Lonchura striata: one gene and its partner. Each later gene encodes a partner of the first gene's protein in a complex. Links are inferred from orthologs where the notes say so. Each region holds a gene or a part of one and is shown in the gene's direction. Other genes may lie near its edges.

Region 1 (7,254 bases):
CACTTACTAATCCTTTATCATGCATAAGTAGAACCTCCACACCAAATACTGTGAGACACTGTATATATGAAAGACACCATTTTACAAACATTGTCATATATAAGAGCCACCTGGTTTTTTCCTTCTTTGCTTTTAGCATTTTCCTTTGCACTCCCAAATTCTATTCATCCCATTGCTTCTTTAACATGTAGCATAGTTAATGCAGCAAAAAGACTTGTTCCTGCTGAGGTCTGAAATGTGTGTTAACAGGCCAGCAGTTTCTTCTCCACGACCAGCACAGGACCTCTGAAACTGGATCTCTTGTGCCCAGAGTAGAGCCCTTAATACTCAGGTGCCCAGATTTTTCCTGAGGCCAGCATCCTCTTCTAACCACTTTGCTTTACACTTTGTCTATCTCTGGTTGGAGAACAAGAGAAATAACAGTCACCTAACAAAGCTCTTACAGGAACTAATTCATTAAGGATTGTAAAGTACTTTGATATAGCAGTGTGGTATATTTGCCAGAGTAGAAAGGAACATGTGGGATTTATTATAAACAGTCACTGTCTCCATCCCTGTGGGATGACAGCTGATCTACCACAAACACTTATTTCCAAATTACAGTATTATGCCAATTACAACTCCTGAGTTGAAACTGCTATAGCATTTACCTTATAATGTGCTAGTTTCAGGAATTAAAAAACACCAGAATCAGTAAAATGGCAGCAGGAGACTATTTTACACTATTATTCAATTTGATTAAATGGAATAGATGAGACAGCAAATGATCAGAAAACATGCCCACAGGTTACTCACTTTGTGTGTATATAAACATATGAGTGTATATATTAATATAATCTATAGTGCTTAAGTTGGGTGGTGGTGCTCTGTTATGTGCAGCAATGCATATCCTCATACATAAACCAAGAAGCATTCTGCTTGTGCAGAGGAGCAGACATAGTTTCATGGATTAATCTTTCAGATTAAATTAAAATACAAATAGCTGGGGGAAAAGAATATCACAAATGAAAAAAAAAAAAAAAAGGTTGTTTAGTCCAGAAGGAATGTGAGATTGAAGGTAAGCTAAGCAGAGGAGGTTGTTCAGGTAAAGAATTTATGCATTCAGCTCCTACAGGCTGGGATGAAACTCATGGCACTCTTAGGATGACTTTTCTTCCCAGGGTCACTTCTTTCAACAGCATATGCCAGGGGATGCAATTTCCAGGTGACTGTAGTCAAATATGTGGTTGTGTGTGGTAATAATAGAAGGAACATCCTGGCTTGGTTGAAGTCATAGGACGTTTTGCCAGGCTGCGATGGGGGCCAAGATTTTACCCTCCAGCATCTCCAAAGATAAATAGGGATCTGTCACCATACCAACATGGACAACTACATAATTGTTTCTAAATATGTAACAGCCCCACTAGTTCTAATGGAACTGCATCAGTGATTAAAGGCCTCACAGGGAAATTCTTAATATGGCAGTAATTTCATGCACAAGAATTTTCTTACTGATTTCAAGCAAGTGCTCAAACTCTAATTCGGTCTTCTTTTTTGTACACTGATGAATTTATTCTGCACATGTCTGGGCTTTATTTAAGCAGTAGTCTCCAGCATGTCTTACACCACAGCCATACAGCAATTTTCAGATTTTGATTTTTGAGAACTGAATTTAACTGAGACCATGCAGAGCCCTTAACTTCTTGCTTTCTCTCACTTGTGATCAAAAAATAGCAGTGTTAGTGCATTTTTAGAATAATTCTAAGGACTTTTGAGGAGAGACATATGCTTACTACATACTCTACAATATATATGTACAATCATATATATTTTTCCATTGGGGGGGATGTGGGGCAAAAATGCTCTAAATAAGATTATTTAAAATAGAATAAAAACAAAGAGACTAATAGAACAAAGTGAAATGGGCCAAAGTAGATCTTTCTACAAGAATACATGGGAAAGTTATTTTGATTTTAGGTACTCTTGTTTAATATTAAGGACATGATTTTAGCACATGGAATGGGTGTATTCAATGTATAAGTGTTTAGACACCTGTTACTACTTCATCAGTTTGCAAGACTTATGGGAGAAAAATCCCGCAAAGTCTGCCCATGAAAGACATACTTAAGTGTAAATTTTATTGTTTGCACTAACTTCATTGATGGGCTTTTTACATTTCCATAGATATTTTTAATATAGGCTTGAGGGTGTTTTCATACAATAAACCAAAAATATTTCTTATCTAGATGACAAACCAAAATGCTTATAGACATTCTCAGTTAGATCCAAAGCATTCCAGATTTCTCTGTGTAACATGCACTATCTCAAACTGAACTGCACTAAATTGCCATGATGTAGCTCTTTTGAAGTTATAATTTTGGGAAATAGTATAATTTACAGTGACAGTGGATCTGAGTTTGCTGGACGATGATTCATGTATAAAGAGTTCATGTGCTTAACTTCACAGTTTACATAATATCAGGTACACCAGTAAATGTCAAGATCCATAGGAGTTTCTTTGCAAACAAAAGATTCTTGAATATGTTAAAAACTGGAACATAACACCCAATGACATATCATCCTGTAAAATTTATTTTTGGGAAAAGAGTTAAATTGAGAAGAAAGAATGGGATTGTTTAAACCAGAGACTTTTATAATTTTTCTCTGCGTTATTACTTATGTCTTCACGACATACTTGTAATTTCAAAATGGCCAAACATATTATCAAGTTTTCTCCAGTGTTTTGTTTCCTAAGCTGGGATGTGGCCATGCCAAGTTTCAGTTTCAAGAAATTATTTTTATGTTTTTGCCACTAACCAAGTTGTAAATTTCCCGGAAAGAAAAAAAAAAGTTTCTGATGGAAATGTTGACACAACATTCAGAATAGTGTTGCAAATGTGACGCTGTGCTACAAATTGTGCTGAAATGATTTATAACATTTCCAATAATTTAAAAACTATTTTAAATCACAGCCAGGTCCTGCATAATGCATGAACCTTGACGGATTCTCCAACAAGTATTAGGTCACTACACATTTCAATTTCCCTCTTTATGTTTAAAAGGCTGCATCTGGCAGTTAAAAGACTAAAACCTCAGTCAATGGTTATGGTGTGATAGATACATGCTGGAATATTATTTTCACCCGGTAGCTTTCTTTAAGTAGGTCATACAATTTTACAGTGCTCTGAAACATCACCAAAGAGCTTCCTTACACAGTATCTCGAGCAAGTGACTCTGAAAGAAGTTGCAGTAAACCTTAATGCTTTTTTTTATTGTTATGGAAACTTTGTTTCCTTACTAGTCTACATGCAGTGCATCATCTAGGGAAGATCTTAATTTATTGTAGAAGGTAATTTTCCACCCACTCTTAAGGATATTTTTTAGAATTTTACTTTTATATTTTCTTATTCAGGACCAGATATTTTTAGAAAACTTTGCAGGCAGGCACCTAACTTAACATGTCATCCACAAGATGTGGAAAAGAGGATGTTGAGGAGACATCTGGAACAATCATGATTCAAGTTTGGGAACATGAGGGATATCTAGCTGTGTCTGCTTGAGTGGATGCTCAGGTAGGTACTCTGCCTTTCCCTCCCTTTTGTGGTACCCTATGGGATGTATCCCATGGTATTTTGTCATGCCATGCTTGGGTAAAAAGTGATGTTTGGGTGAAAAGTGCTGTTTGCTGGCCGTTGGTGAGAAAACCATCACAAGGAGTATTAAAACCCAGGAGTAGAACTCGATGGTTGTGATGGGTCCCTTCCAACTCAGCATATTCTGTGATTACTGAAAACTTTGACATGGTGAGAGGCCTTTGGCAGCGCCGGTCAAGACAGCGCGGAGAAAGCCGAGCTTTAAGTCCATACGTGTTATCACCTTGTTCTTTTAAACATATTCCTCGGAACATCTTGTTACATGTACGAACTCAATGGGAGGACAACATCTGTGATTAGTTCACGCTGCTTCCACCCCTCAGACTAATTGTGGCAGCTCCAGCACAGCCCCCTTGCCCCGGCCCGGGGGAGTGCCGAAGCCCAAGGGCTGCCTGCGGGGTGCTGCCCCCGGCGCCGCTCCAGCCGCCCCGCGGAGGACGGAGAGCGCAGCGCGACCCCCGAGGGCGGCCGCGGGCCCCGGGAGGCGCCGGCGGCCGCTTCCCCGCAGCCGCCTTCCCGCCCAGGGGACGCGCCGCCCCACAAACTTTATCGCCTTTCCCCCTTTCTCCCTTTTTTATTTTTTTTTAATTTTTTTTTTTTTTTTTTTTTTTTTTTGAGGGAGAAAAGGTGGGGGGGAGCTCAATTTCCCACTTGCCAACAGCAGATAAAAAAGTGGGGAGGGACCTCTTCTGTCACAGCCTATGTAGATTAACCTTTCAATTAGCTGTTATCAGGTCCTGTGTCTTAGCACCAGTCCTCGCAATCTGCGTCCGCCCGCACCGGGGAGGCTGGAGGTCTGGGGTGGGTTTCTGTTTTAATTTCTAAATTAATGATAATTGCTCGCGTGGCTCCCCTCCCCCGCCGAGAGCTGAACGCGTGTGTCTGATCTGCCCGTCCACCTTTTAGTATTTTGGAGTGAGAAGAGGAGCCCCGCGGAGGAGGAGGAGGAGGGGAGACAAGGTATTCTCTCTGTATTCATCTTCTTTTTTCCCCTCTCGCGGAGGGGCTTAGGGAAGGTAACTGGTGCAATCAATCCGCTGGCTGGGGATTCCCTCCACCCCCTCCCCGGCTCGTCTGGCTCTCCTGGCTGGGTCTCTTCAGTGTGTATGTGTTTGGGGAAGGGGGTGGGGGGAGGCTGTGTTGTTGTTGTGTTCCTGGCTCTGCTTGCAGCCAGGAGAGAGAGCGAGCGGGCGAGCGAGAGACAGAGCGGAGAGAGCGAGCGAGCGAGAGAGAGAGAGGAGCCGCGATCGCGTTTCAGGGGCAGCACATTCCGCAGGAACCGCTGCTGCAGAAACACACACGGGCAGAGAAAGGAGGTCATTGCAAGCAAAGGGGGGAACCTGCATCGGAGGTTAGATTCCCAGGAGTTTATGCGGGGGATAATAGGGAGCATGCGATGGGGTTTGTTTTGCATTGGGTGACAGGCTGCAATTTGCCATAATAACCCCCTTTCCCTCCCCTCTCCCAGCGCAGGGGGCTTGTCACTAGGCTGGGTACTTTTTTTCCTTTAGCATCGGAGGCTGATGCACGTGTTTGCAGACACTTGCGCTGGGTAAATGCATTGCAATGCTCTGCGTTTTGCAGGGGAGGGGGAGCAGCAGCAGGGGGTGATGGCTGGGTTGGATGGGGTGGGGAGAGGGGGAATGGAGTGGCGGAGGGAAGCAGGGGATGGCTGAGGTTTTTGTGTTGCATGTTCCCACCCTGTCTTTCTGAGGCGGCAATTGTTCCTTCGCAGACGGGGTGACAGAGAAGTCCCTGGTGCTTCGCATGGCGAAACTTGCAGGGACCTGCATGTGGCTGCAGAGCCGGGAGTCATTGTCGTCGTCCCCGTTCCCACTCCCTCCTCCCTCCCCCGGCGGTGCGGGGTGTGCGCGATAAGCGGCTGCCAGTCCAGGCACCTTGGGAGGTGATGCTGGGCGCATGCTGCTCCATCTCGCCCGCCCGGGCGAGCGCCAGCCGCTGAGGCGCGCGCGACGCTCAGTATTTAAGGCGGCTCATTAGTGTGTGTCGCGCGCCCGCCCGCCCTGCCGAGCTGGCTCAGGCGGCCGCCGCCGGTGTCTCGGCAGCGCTCGCGCTCCCGAACAAACTTCGGGAGCGAGCGGGTGGGGCGGTGGCGGGGGCTGGGGAGGCCGAGGGTGGGGGGTGGCGGACGGGCGGCAGCGGCGGCCAACGGGAGGGTGGGATGGCGAGGAGTCCCGCCGCCGCTCCCGGCGGCTGGCCAATCGCGAGCGCCCCGGGGCCCGGCGGTGAGGCGGGCGGGCGGGGCGCGCCAGTGTGTGGCGGCGGCGGCGGCCAGTGTCAGCCGCCGGCCCCGCCCCCTCCCGCCGGTGGGCGGTGCTGAGCGCGCCGGGAAGGGGCGCGCCGCGTGAGTGACGGGCGGCGCCCGCCAATGGGAGCGCCGGGCCGGTTGCTGGGCGGGCCCGGCCCGGTGTGGGCGGGCGGCGGCAGCCCCCCCCCGGCCCGTGAGCGCGCAGCGGCGTGCGCGGCGCGGGCCAATGGCGGGCGGCGGTGGGCGGGGCGCGGGGTAGGTAAGGTTTTAATGAGCCTCCATTGGGCTGTAATCAGTGTCATGTCGGATTCACGTTAAGTACAACGGGGCGAGACAAAATGGCGGCGTAGGTGCGCCGAGCCGCGCGGGGCGGTCGCGGCGGCCGCGGGCAGCGCGGAGCGGGGCAGGCGGCCCGGCGCGGCCCGGCGGCGGGAGCGGCGGAAGAGCCGGCAGCAGGGGGAGCCGCTGCGGCGCCCGGAGGAGGCTCCTCCCCCGCCGAGGTGAGTGGTACCGGGGGGGTCTCACCTGCCTCCCGCGGGGGACGCGCGGCCGCCGCCCCCGGCCCCGCCCGGCGCCCCGCGGGTGCGCGCACGGCCCGGGCTGCCCTGCCGCGGGTCGCCGTGCCCGGGGGCTGAGCCCGCGGGCCGGGGCTCCTGCCTCGGCGATGGCAAACCCCGGAGCAGGGCGGGCAGGGCGCAGAGCCAGCCCCGGCTTGGCCCCTTCGAATGCAACAATGCCTTGGCCCGAGGCTCTGGGCGTTGCACATCTCCGTGGCTGGGCTAGTGCTGCAAAAACCTTAAGTAAGTTGGGGAGGGGAATAGTCCAGCTTGGCGGTGCCACGTTTTGGAAGTGATGTTCACATTGTGTGTTCTTTGCCCGGACCTCACCTCTCATACTCTGTCACTGAGCATTGAAAATAACCCCCTCTGGCAAGAGCAGACGGATACCCACCCCTGCTGTTGAAAACCACTATCTCAAGAAGAAATGTTTTCAGTTCACCTTTTTCCAGGTGAACTCTTGGCAGTGAATATTACCTTTCCGTATTTCCTGCGGTTCTCTAGTACTGTATTTTAAAGTACTCAGAACTTCCACAGGAGAAGGTGGGAAAGGTGAATTTGGGTGATTTTGCTGCTGTCATGTTGTGCTGATGCTGCTTCCTCTGGTGGCGCTTGCTGCTGTCATGTTGGGAAACGATTTTAAGCAGATGATCTCGAAGAAGCTTGTGGGGTATCTCAGAGCACAAGCACTTCCATCAGTTTGTTTCACATGTGCCACTCTTCTCTCCACATCCACGAGTCTTTAGTGCAGTTTTGAAGTTACTGTAGTGTATACATCTGTCTTTTTAAAGCATAT
Region 2 (7,683 bases), on another chromosome or scaffold:
AATAATTGATACTGAAGAGACAATGATGGAAGAGAAGCAGATTATTCTCTTGATTATGGCTCTGTCTACTCTTTTGGAAACAGCAATATCATTATACATGAGTGCCAATAGTTCTGTTCCAAGGTTTTGTTCTTGATAAAATAGTCTTGAAACTAGTAGATGGTAGTTTTGCTGTTTGGCAGACCTACAGGTCATTACACAGGCAAGCTCTGTCCTTGTGTTGCAGCATGATGTAATTTGTGTGTGGTTTTTTGTTTTGTATTATTGAAGCATAGCTTACATATGTTTTCATGTATAGCCTAATCATGAAGTTTGTTTTTGCATCTTTGCAGTGTCCAGAGGAGTGAGGTCATTCCCCACCTTCCACCATGCAACAGTTATGAGCACATATTGTAGAGAGCATCTTAAAATTGCAAAATCCTAAAGGTACATGATGTTAAAGGATTCAGAATAGTGGATAAGTAAAGCAGGCAGTATTTGCTGTCAATTGTATATCTCAGCAAATTACTTGGTGTATCTCTCTGTCAGCAAGTGACAGGATACATACCTCTTCTTGCAGTAGGTGACTCCAAGCAGTAGCTCCAACAAATGCTTAAATGGAAATGGGATAAGGGCCTTTGCATAACAGCTTTACTACTTGAAGACCACTCTGTCAAATGATCTTCTAGCTTATCTATAGATAACATTCCATAGGACTGCTCAGCAGATGCAGCTTACAAAGGTATTTCTTTGCAAGCACCCTGATCAAGTTTGACTTCTGGTGGAGCTCTGATGATAAAACGTCTCTGGACCTTCATCAGTACCATAAAAGGCACTGACACAGCTCCCAGTCTGTTTTTAAACTTGTGTTTTGGTGAAGACTGTTCATTTGGATCGTTTGTTCTGAAGGGTCAGACTAAAGGGTCTTAACAATTCATAAACAAAGAACCACTTTGGCTGTGAGAATGAGAAAGGTGATATGTGTAGGAAGTAAGAGTTACTGAGGCTGTAAGAAACAAAACATCCTTGATTCCATAACAGTTGGTGAACATACATTGTCATCATACAGCTAAAACATCCAGATCAGAGGAGTGAGAAGGAAAGTCCAGACAAATCTTCCTAACTACAGATCAAGGAATATATTCAGTAAACAAGTAGGAGTAAAATGGATACTTCTTTCATATATTTGAAGCTAAAAATTTGATCTTCCTTCTGGTCATCCAGGACTCAGTCTAGTATGATGTACCAATCTTTCTTACAAGATATCAGTAATAACTAGAAGATGGATCAGTGATCATGTGTATTTTCCTGTAAATACAAAAATTTGCAGATCACCCAGAAGATGCAGAGTGATCCTGCACCACCACCCAACAGACTGAAAATAAACAGCTGAAATTCTGTGAGCACACTGCTATAATATGTCTATTGATAAGATTACTACATCTTTTCCACAGTGAATGCCGTTCTGGCTTCCATGAGGTTTGGGAACAACCTTTCTTTTGTGAACTTGCAAAGTCATGCCTGAAAGTATTCTACCAGTGGCACATACCATCACTGATGAAGTAAGTGAGATCTAAAAGCATTCCCATGTAGGATGAGAGGACCATGGTCATGTTGTGTCATAGATGAGTGTGAAGGTGTAAATTGTATAATGGATAAGCCAAACTTGAAAACTTACTGGTGATACATTACCTTAGGGCATCATATGGAAATATCACATTCAAGGTTAGGCAGATTTGTCATCATGATAGGAAGAAGACCCACACGGGTATGTTATGGCAGTCCAAAACCTTTCTCGAAATGCAGATTGTTGCAGGTTCTAAGGAGCGGGCATGAGTTCTGATTCCTTCTGGTCTTTTCAGCAGATAGCTGTCTGGGCCAGGAGAGGGATACAAAGTTGCATCCAAAGTAGGTCATTACCTCTGCAAGTATTTATTGCTGCAGTGACTGTTGTGTTGACTTGTATTAATCTGTGAAACAAAGGTGATACACTTTAGAAACATAGAAATGTGTCTCATGAAGTTTGATTCTACAAGAAAATAGAGGAGGATGCTGGGGCAGATAAATAGCAATTGTGTTTCTTTATGTGGTTTTTCTTGCAGTGATTCTGTTGAGAATTTGACAACTAGTGGAGGTGAAAGCTGGTAGGCAGAAGATAGACCTTCTGTGAAGTTTTCCATGCAGAGTGAGTCAGCATTGGCAACTTGTTTAACAGTTTGATCCTGCCAGGTAGGGGTGTGAGGATTCTGAAGAACTGGGACTAAAGCCCCTTGCACATGTTGAACTGGTGTGAAAAACAGTGGTGAGTGGTCTGTTGCCATCAAGCTAGAGATCAGAGGGCTTATTTTTAGCTTGAAATTGAACCATATGCTAGTAGTATTGTATTCTTTTGAGTAACCACATCTCACTTGTGAGGTGGAAAAGATGAAGGTAGCAGATCTTTTAGGTTGTAGGCACATGTGCTGGGGACTGGACAGATGTCCCAGACAATACTACATACTGCTCTGTTTTGAAATGCATAGGCTAATATACTAATAGTTAAAATGAAGAGATTGAGCATCCTGCTTTGGTAGCCTGTCATAAGGTCAATGAAATTATTTTGAAGTCTAAGATTCCTAATAGAGAGCTTTTTGTTGAGTGTGCCCTAATCTTTGTGCTGTTACTCTGAAATACCATATGAAGGAACAACATGAGGTCTGTGTCCTAGCCTGGACACTCCAGAACAAAAACTCAACATACCACCTTCTTAATGAGAGTAATTGGAAGAATCTAGAAGAATGAGTTTAAATTACAGAAAAGTGGTCAAATGGTGGAAATACCAATGAGGAATACCCTGTTATCATAGGGATGCCTAAGGATGATGGAATGCTTAGTCCACCTGTCAGAAAAAAGAAACTGGAAAAAAGCCAGACTTGCTGTGTGTCAGACGCATTAGAATGTGGACACCATCAAAGTTTCTGTGGCAAACTTGTCTCCACTTAAAAAAGTATTTGTACAGCTGCAAAGCAAATACACGTGAATTATTGCTTAAAAGATAAACTGGCATATTTTCATATCATAATCTTAATAGGTTTTTGACAACATTATTTCTATTCATTTTTATACTCTGCACACTAATGTACATGATAAGGTATGGTATGATATCCCTCTTTAATATGTTTCTATCACAGGTTGAATTCCAGTGCAACAACACTAACTTATATCAGCATGTTGTAAGACTTCTGAGACTGCTGACAGGATCACTAAAACAATTTAACTGGAGAGTAGTTCCTCACAGCCAAGTACACAAATGACCAGATGGCCTCCATAGTTTGTACAAACTTTCTTGTATTGGAAGCTGAAGGTACTTTATGTGTCTGTGCCTAAGGATTTATATCTACACTGAGCAAACTGCACAAGTGTTAGCTGCTTTAATAGCTTCTGTTTTGTTCAGAGATCAGTGTGCTAAATGGTCCCTGAGGAGGATAAAAAGAATTTGGAAAGTACTTTTCATATTCGACAAGATTTCCAGCCTAGTTGCTTAAACTCTCTGGACTTCAATTAACTTTCTACAAGTAATAACATATGTATCTATTTCTGATTCCCTAGTCATATATTAATTGTAGGACCTACTGGTTTTTGAGGCAAGGAAACCTCTTACTACTAGAGAAAACAAAAATGAATGGGTAAGTTGTTTTTCAGCAATTTAGCTGAGTGGATGCTAAATACTGATGGGTAAAAAGAATCACACCTACTCTCAATCACTTGTTTTTTACTATATGCTTGCTTTGGATGATCAGCACAGGCAAGTGTTTGTGTTAGGCAGGGCCAGCTAAACCTTGTTTTCTAAGGATGTGGGTGCAGCTGCCTTGCAGAAATGTATTGCAGTAAAACCCTCCAGTTCTCAGATATGGCTGTAATGGCTGTCTAAAAATAATACCTAACAAAGGGTGTCCTTTGCAGGGGAAGCCAGAAATAACCTTCTTTTTCTCTGTCAAAATGTAAGGCTAATATCAGTTCATCTACAAGCAGCAGTTTGACCCAGAGACCACGAAGGAGCTTACTTTCAGCATAAGGAATCTTGAGCTTGGACTTCCCCCCCAAAGAGATAATAAATACCACTCGCTTCAACTTTCTAGCCTCGGTTTTGTAACGAGTCCCGTCCCGCCTCCATCCGTTCCCTGGCCCCCGCGCCGGGCCGTTCGAACGTTGTACCAGGGACGCTCGGCGGGTTCGGGCTCGGGCCCGGCCGGTCCAGGCGGGAGCGCAGCGGTCGTGGGACCGGCGCGTTCCCGCCCCGAGCGCGGCCGGTGCCGGCCGCGGCCGCGGGGAGCGGCGGCGCGCAAGGCCCCGCCCCGCGGCGGCGGGAGCGGCGGGGCTGGGCGGCGCCTGGCGCCCGCACGTCCCTTCCCTCCTCGCTCGCTCCCTCCCTCCCGCCCGCCTCTCCTCCTCCCCCCCGTCGGCGCAGCGCTGTGGTGAAGCCGCATTGTTTGTGCCGCGGGGGGAGGGGAGCCGCTCAGCCCCGGGAGCCGAGCGCCGAGCCCGCAGCCGGACAGCGACGCGCGCCGCGCCTCACGAATGCGCCGCGCCCGGCGGCAGCAGCAGCCCCGCACCCAGCGCCGGGTGACCGCCGCGGGCAGCGCGGCCCTCGTAGCGCCCGCTCGGCCGCCCGCGGCTGCCGGACGCGGGGCCAGGCGGCAGCACCGGCGGGGCCTCCGCCATTAACCCGGCCGAGCGTCGGCCGCAGCGGCGGAGCGGGAGGTCTGTCAGCCGCTCCTCGGCGGCTCCCACAGCGTGAGTACGGCCGGGTTGGGCGGCGGGGACCCGCGGGCGGGGGCTACGGGGCCGGGAGCCGGCGGGTCTCGCCGCAGCGGGACGGGAGAGCGGCACGGGGGCAAGAGCAGGGCGGACTGGGCACGGCAGCCCGCGGGGGAGGGCAGCGGCGGGCGGGCGGGGAGCGAGGCGAGCGCGGCGGTCTGGGGGAGGGAGGGAGGGCGCCGCTGGAGCTGTTTTGTCAGCCGCCATATTTGTGGGCCGAGTATTTTCGCGGCGGGAGGGAGTGACTGTTGGGAAGGGCTGGAGATGATGGGCCCGGGCAGGAACCATCCTGCCGGGGGCCGGGAGGGGGGAGCGCCGCGCCGGGCAGGAACCATCGGCGCGAGGGGAGGCAGCGCGCTGGAGGCTCCCTGGGCGTGGGCAGGAAGTGTTGGCGCGGCAGGGGCGGGCCGGGGGCGTGGGCAGCGCGCGCGGGAGGCAGGATTCCGGGATGCTGCGGGAGCTGGCGGCCCTGCGCTCTTTCCGCCGGGCCGGCACAGAACGGCTCTGGTGCTCCCGCGTGGCTTGGCCGTGCCCGCGCACCTTCGCTGGGCTCCGTGAGCCGCTCTGGGCCGTGCCCCGGGGAATCGCTCCTGCTGCGCGGCTGAAGCGGCGGGTGCTGTCCGCCCAGTGTGCGTGTAAGCACTGTTTGCTTACCGTCCCCCATTGTCTAGGACTGAAGAGTATTCCCGTGTCTTTCTCTTTTTAATGGTCTACACGAAAGTGCCATTGAGAGTGCAATTCCCTAGTCCATTGAGCAGGAATCCAGGGACTAAAGACAGCTATTTGAAGAGAAGGAAGGTAACTAGGGCAGATATTGTAATTTAGAAGTATGTGGTACTGTACTTTTCGTGTTGATTTTAGCTATCCTACACCTTGATAAATAGATTTTTGTTGTTGTTGTTTTTACCTCACACCATGTATTTCACAGAAACGGCTATTTCCATGTACTTCTGTTTATGGGGAGGAAAAACGTCTGCTGGCGATTTCCTTCCCAAGTAGCTGATGCAATTCTAGGACATAAGAGCTGTGGATAACTTCCCTGGTTTATATCCCGCAGTCTTTGTGGCCAGGACAGTGCTAACAGAGGTGCATTAAAATAATTTTGTGTGCAGTTAGTGCAGTATCTTTGTGGTCATTGAATGGAAACTTGTCTTAGTTTACACTTCTAATTTACATCTTAGTCCTCATTCCTATTGATCTACAGGATACTGGGAAGAGGGGTGGGAGTAGAAGGGAGAAATGCCAGCTGATAATTGCCTAGGAAAAGCAAACCAGTTGTGGGTCATGAATTTGCTGTGCAGAACTCTGGTCTTCGTCCGGAGTATTTCTAGAACATTTGCAAACACAGAAGAATTTTGGAGAAACAAAACACTGCTTTGGCCTCTGGGGCATTTAAGTTTTTCACGCTAAATTTGCATGAAATTCAGCCTGAGTAATACCAGTTTTGATTCTGTGTGCATTACATTGTATTTTTAGGGTATCCATTCTATGTTTGAGAGTGTAACTTCCTACCTAAGTCTGCTGTATTTACTGTTGAGTATTACAATATACTTAGGTGTTAGCTCAATATTTTTTTTATCTGTCTGGTTTATACAATTCACTTGACTTTTGCAACAGCTGTCCTAAATCTTTAAGCAAGATTAAAGATCTTGTGCTTTTGAGTATTTTCTTCCTATTTTTAATTCCTGCCTGAAGCCATACTTGAGAATCTTGGGAACAGAGTGGAGTGGAGAGCTTGGAAACATAGCATTAATGTGTTTTTCTGTGGTACTGGGCTAAGGTAGTATGGACAAGTTACACATGTGTTTGATTTCTGAAGGTCACCTCTCATCCCTCCCTCTGCATATTCTCTGAAACAGTCTTCATTCTCAGGAGCCACTACTAACAGATACACAACCAGCTAAAACATAGGAAGGGACATTAAAAATACCAAAGCAGGCTTTTGCATCTGGACAGAATTGAAATGCAATTATATGAGGTAAACATGCTGTAAACCATGTTTCTTGATTGACAAGTAAACTGAGTCCATTCTGATCTGTAAAAAGTTGCTGTGCACAGACACATCAGTGTGTTTTAGCTGAAGAATCCATCATTAATTGTTCACAATAACAGAAATCAGGGCCATTGTAATACATTTCATTTATGAAATCTGTATTGAAACTGGGAATTAATTTTTAGTTTTGGTTAAATTCCTGGTATGTTTTAGTGGTCAGACCTTCTTTGGCAGTCAGTATTAGTTGTTTAAACCGTTTTCCGTGGTTAAGAAACTAATATGATTGAATCCTGTGTTGTTTTAGAGAATTTAATTATTAAAGGCTTCTTCCAAAGTTGTTCGAAGAAATGGAGCATTTTGTATTTTTCTGTGGTTTATAAAGAGCAAAGATCTGTTATGATTAAACACTGACTGTTTTCTGGCTGTATGGTACTGAAACAAGTAGTAAGGGTTAAGAATGAGTTGTGCAAAAATTATGAGAAGCACAATTCTCATGTTAATAATAACACTAGCTTAGATTATGAAAACAGATTCTGTTTCTGAGAGCAGACGGATCAGAGCCTTTCAGGAACTAGTCTTAGGGTTAGTTGCCTGAGTGATCTAGTAGTCTTCTGTGAAAGGAATTCCTCCAGTACTTTGAGACCTTTAGAAATTGGCATCTTAGACTTAAGCAAAAGGAGCAAGCCAGCATGGAGTAATTCATGCAGTTAGTTGTTCAGTGCTTGCTGTTTTCTTCCTGAAACAGGTATACTGGTCATTCACAGTAGTTGTGTTTTGATTTCTCTATTTCTCTACTATTTTGGCAATACATGCTAACACTAGTTGCGTTATAGTGAGCAGCCCTGACCCAAAATGCGGAGTTGAAATGGTGAGGCTCTAATAACACTTTAGGCAGTGATTAAAGATCAAGGATT

Evidence for each region. Proteins that work in one complex are often made in the same cells at the same time.
Region 2: KAT6B (region 1) and BRD1 share a complex: the UniProt entries of both Homo sapiens proteins name them as parts of the MOZ/MORF complex. The link is inferred for Lonchura striata from reciprocal best matches to the Homo sapiens genes KAT6B and BRD1.

Annotation. Positions count from the first base shown.
Region 1 is NC_134609.1:11,669,696-11,676,949, reverse strand, and holds the start of KAT6B (histone acetyltransferase KAT6B), read left to right. Parts: upstream 1-4,250; 5' UTR 4,251-4,433; exon of another isoform or gene 4,434-4,538; 5' UTR 4,539-4,592; intron 4,593-4,708; exon of another isoform or gene 4,709-4,736; intron 4,737-4,752; exon of another isoform or gene 4,753-4,983; intron 4,984-6,296; exon of another isoform or gene 6,297-6,401; intron 6,402-7,254. UniProt on the Homo sapiens protein: Histone acetyltransferase which may be involved in both positive and negative regulation of transcription. Required for RUNX2-dependent transcriptional activation. May be involved in cerebral cortex development.
Region 2 is NC_134607.1:28,520,370-28,528,052, reverse strand, and holds the start of BRD1 (bromodomain-containing protein 1), read left to right. Parts: upstream 1-4,633; 5' UTR 4,634-4,752; intron 4,753-7,683. UniProt on the Homo sapiens protein: Scaffold subunit of various histone acetyltransferase (HAT) complexes, such as the MOZ/MORF and HBO1 complexes, that acts as a regulator of hematopoiesis.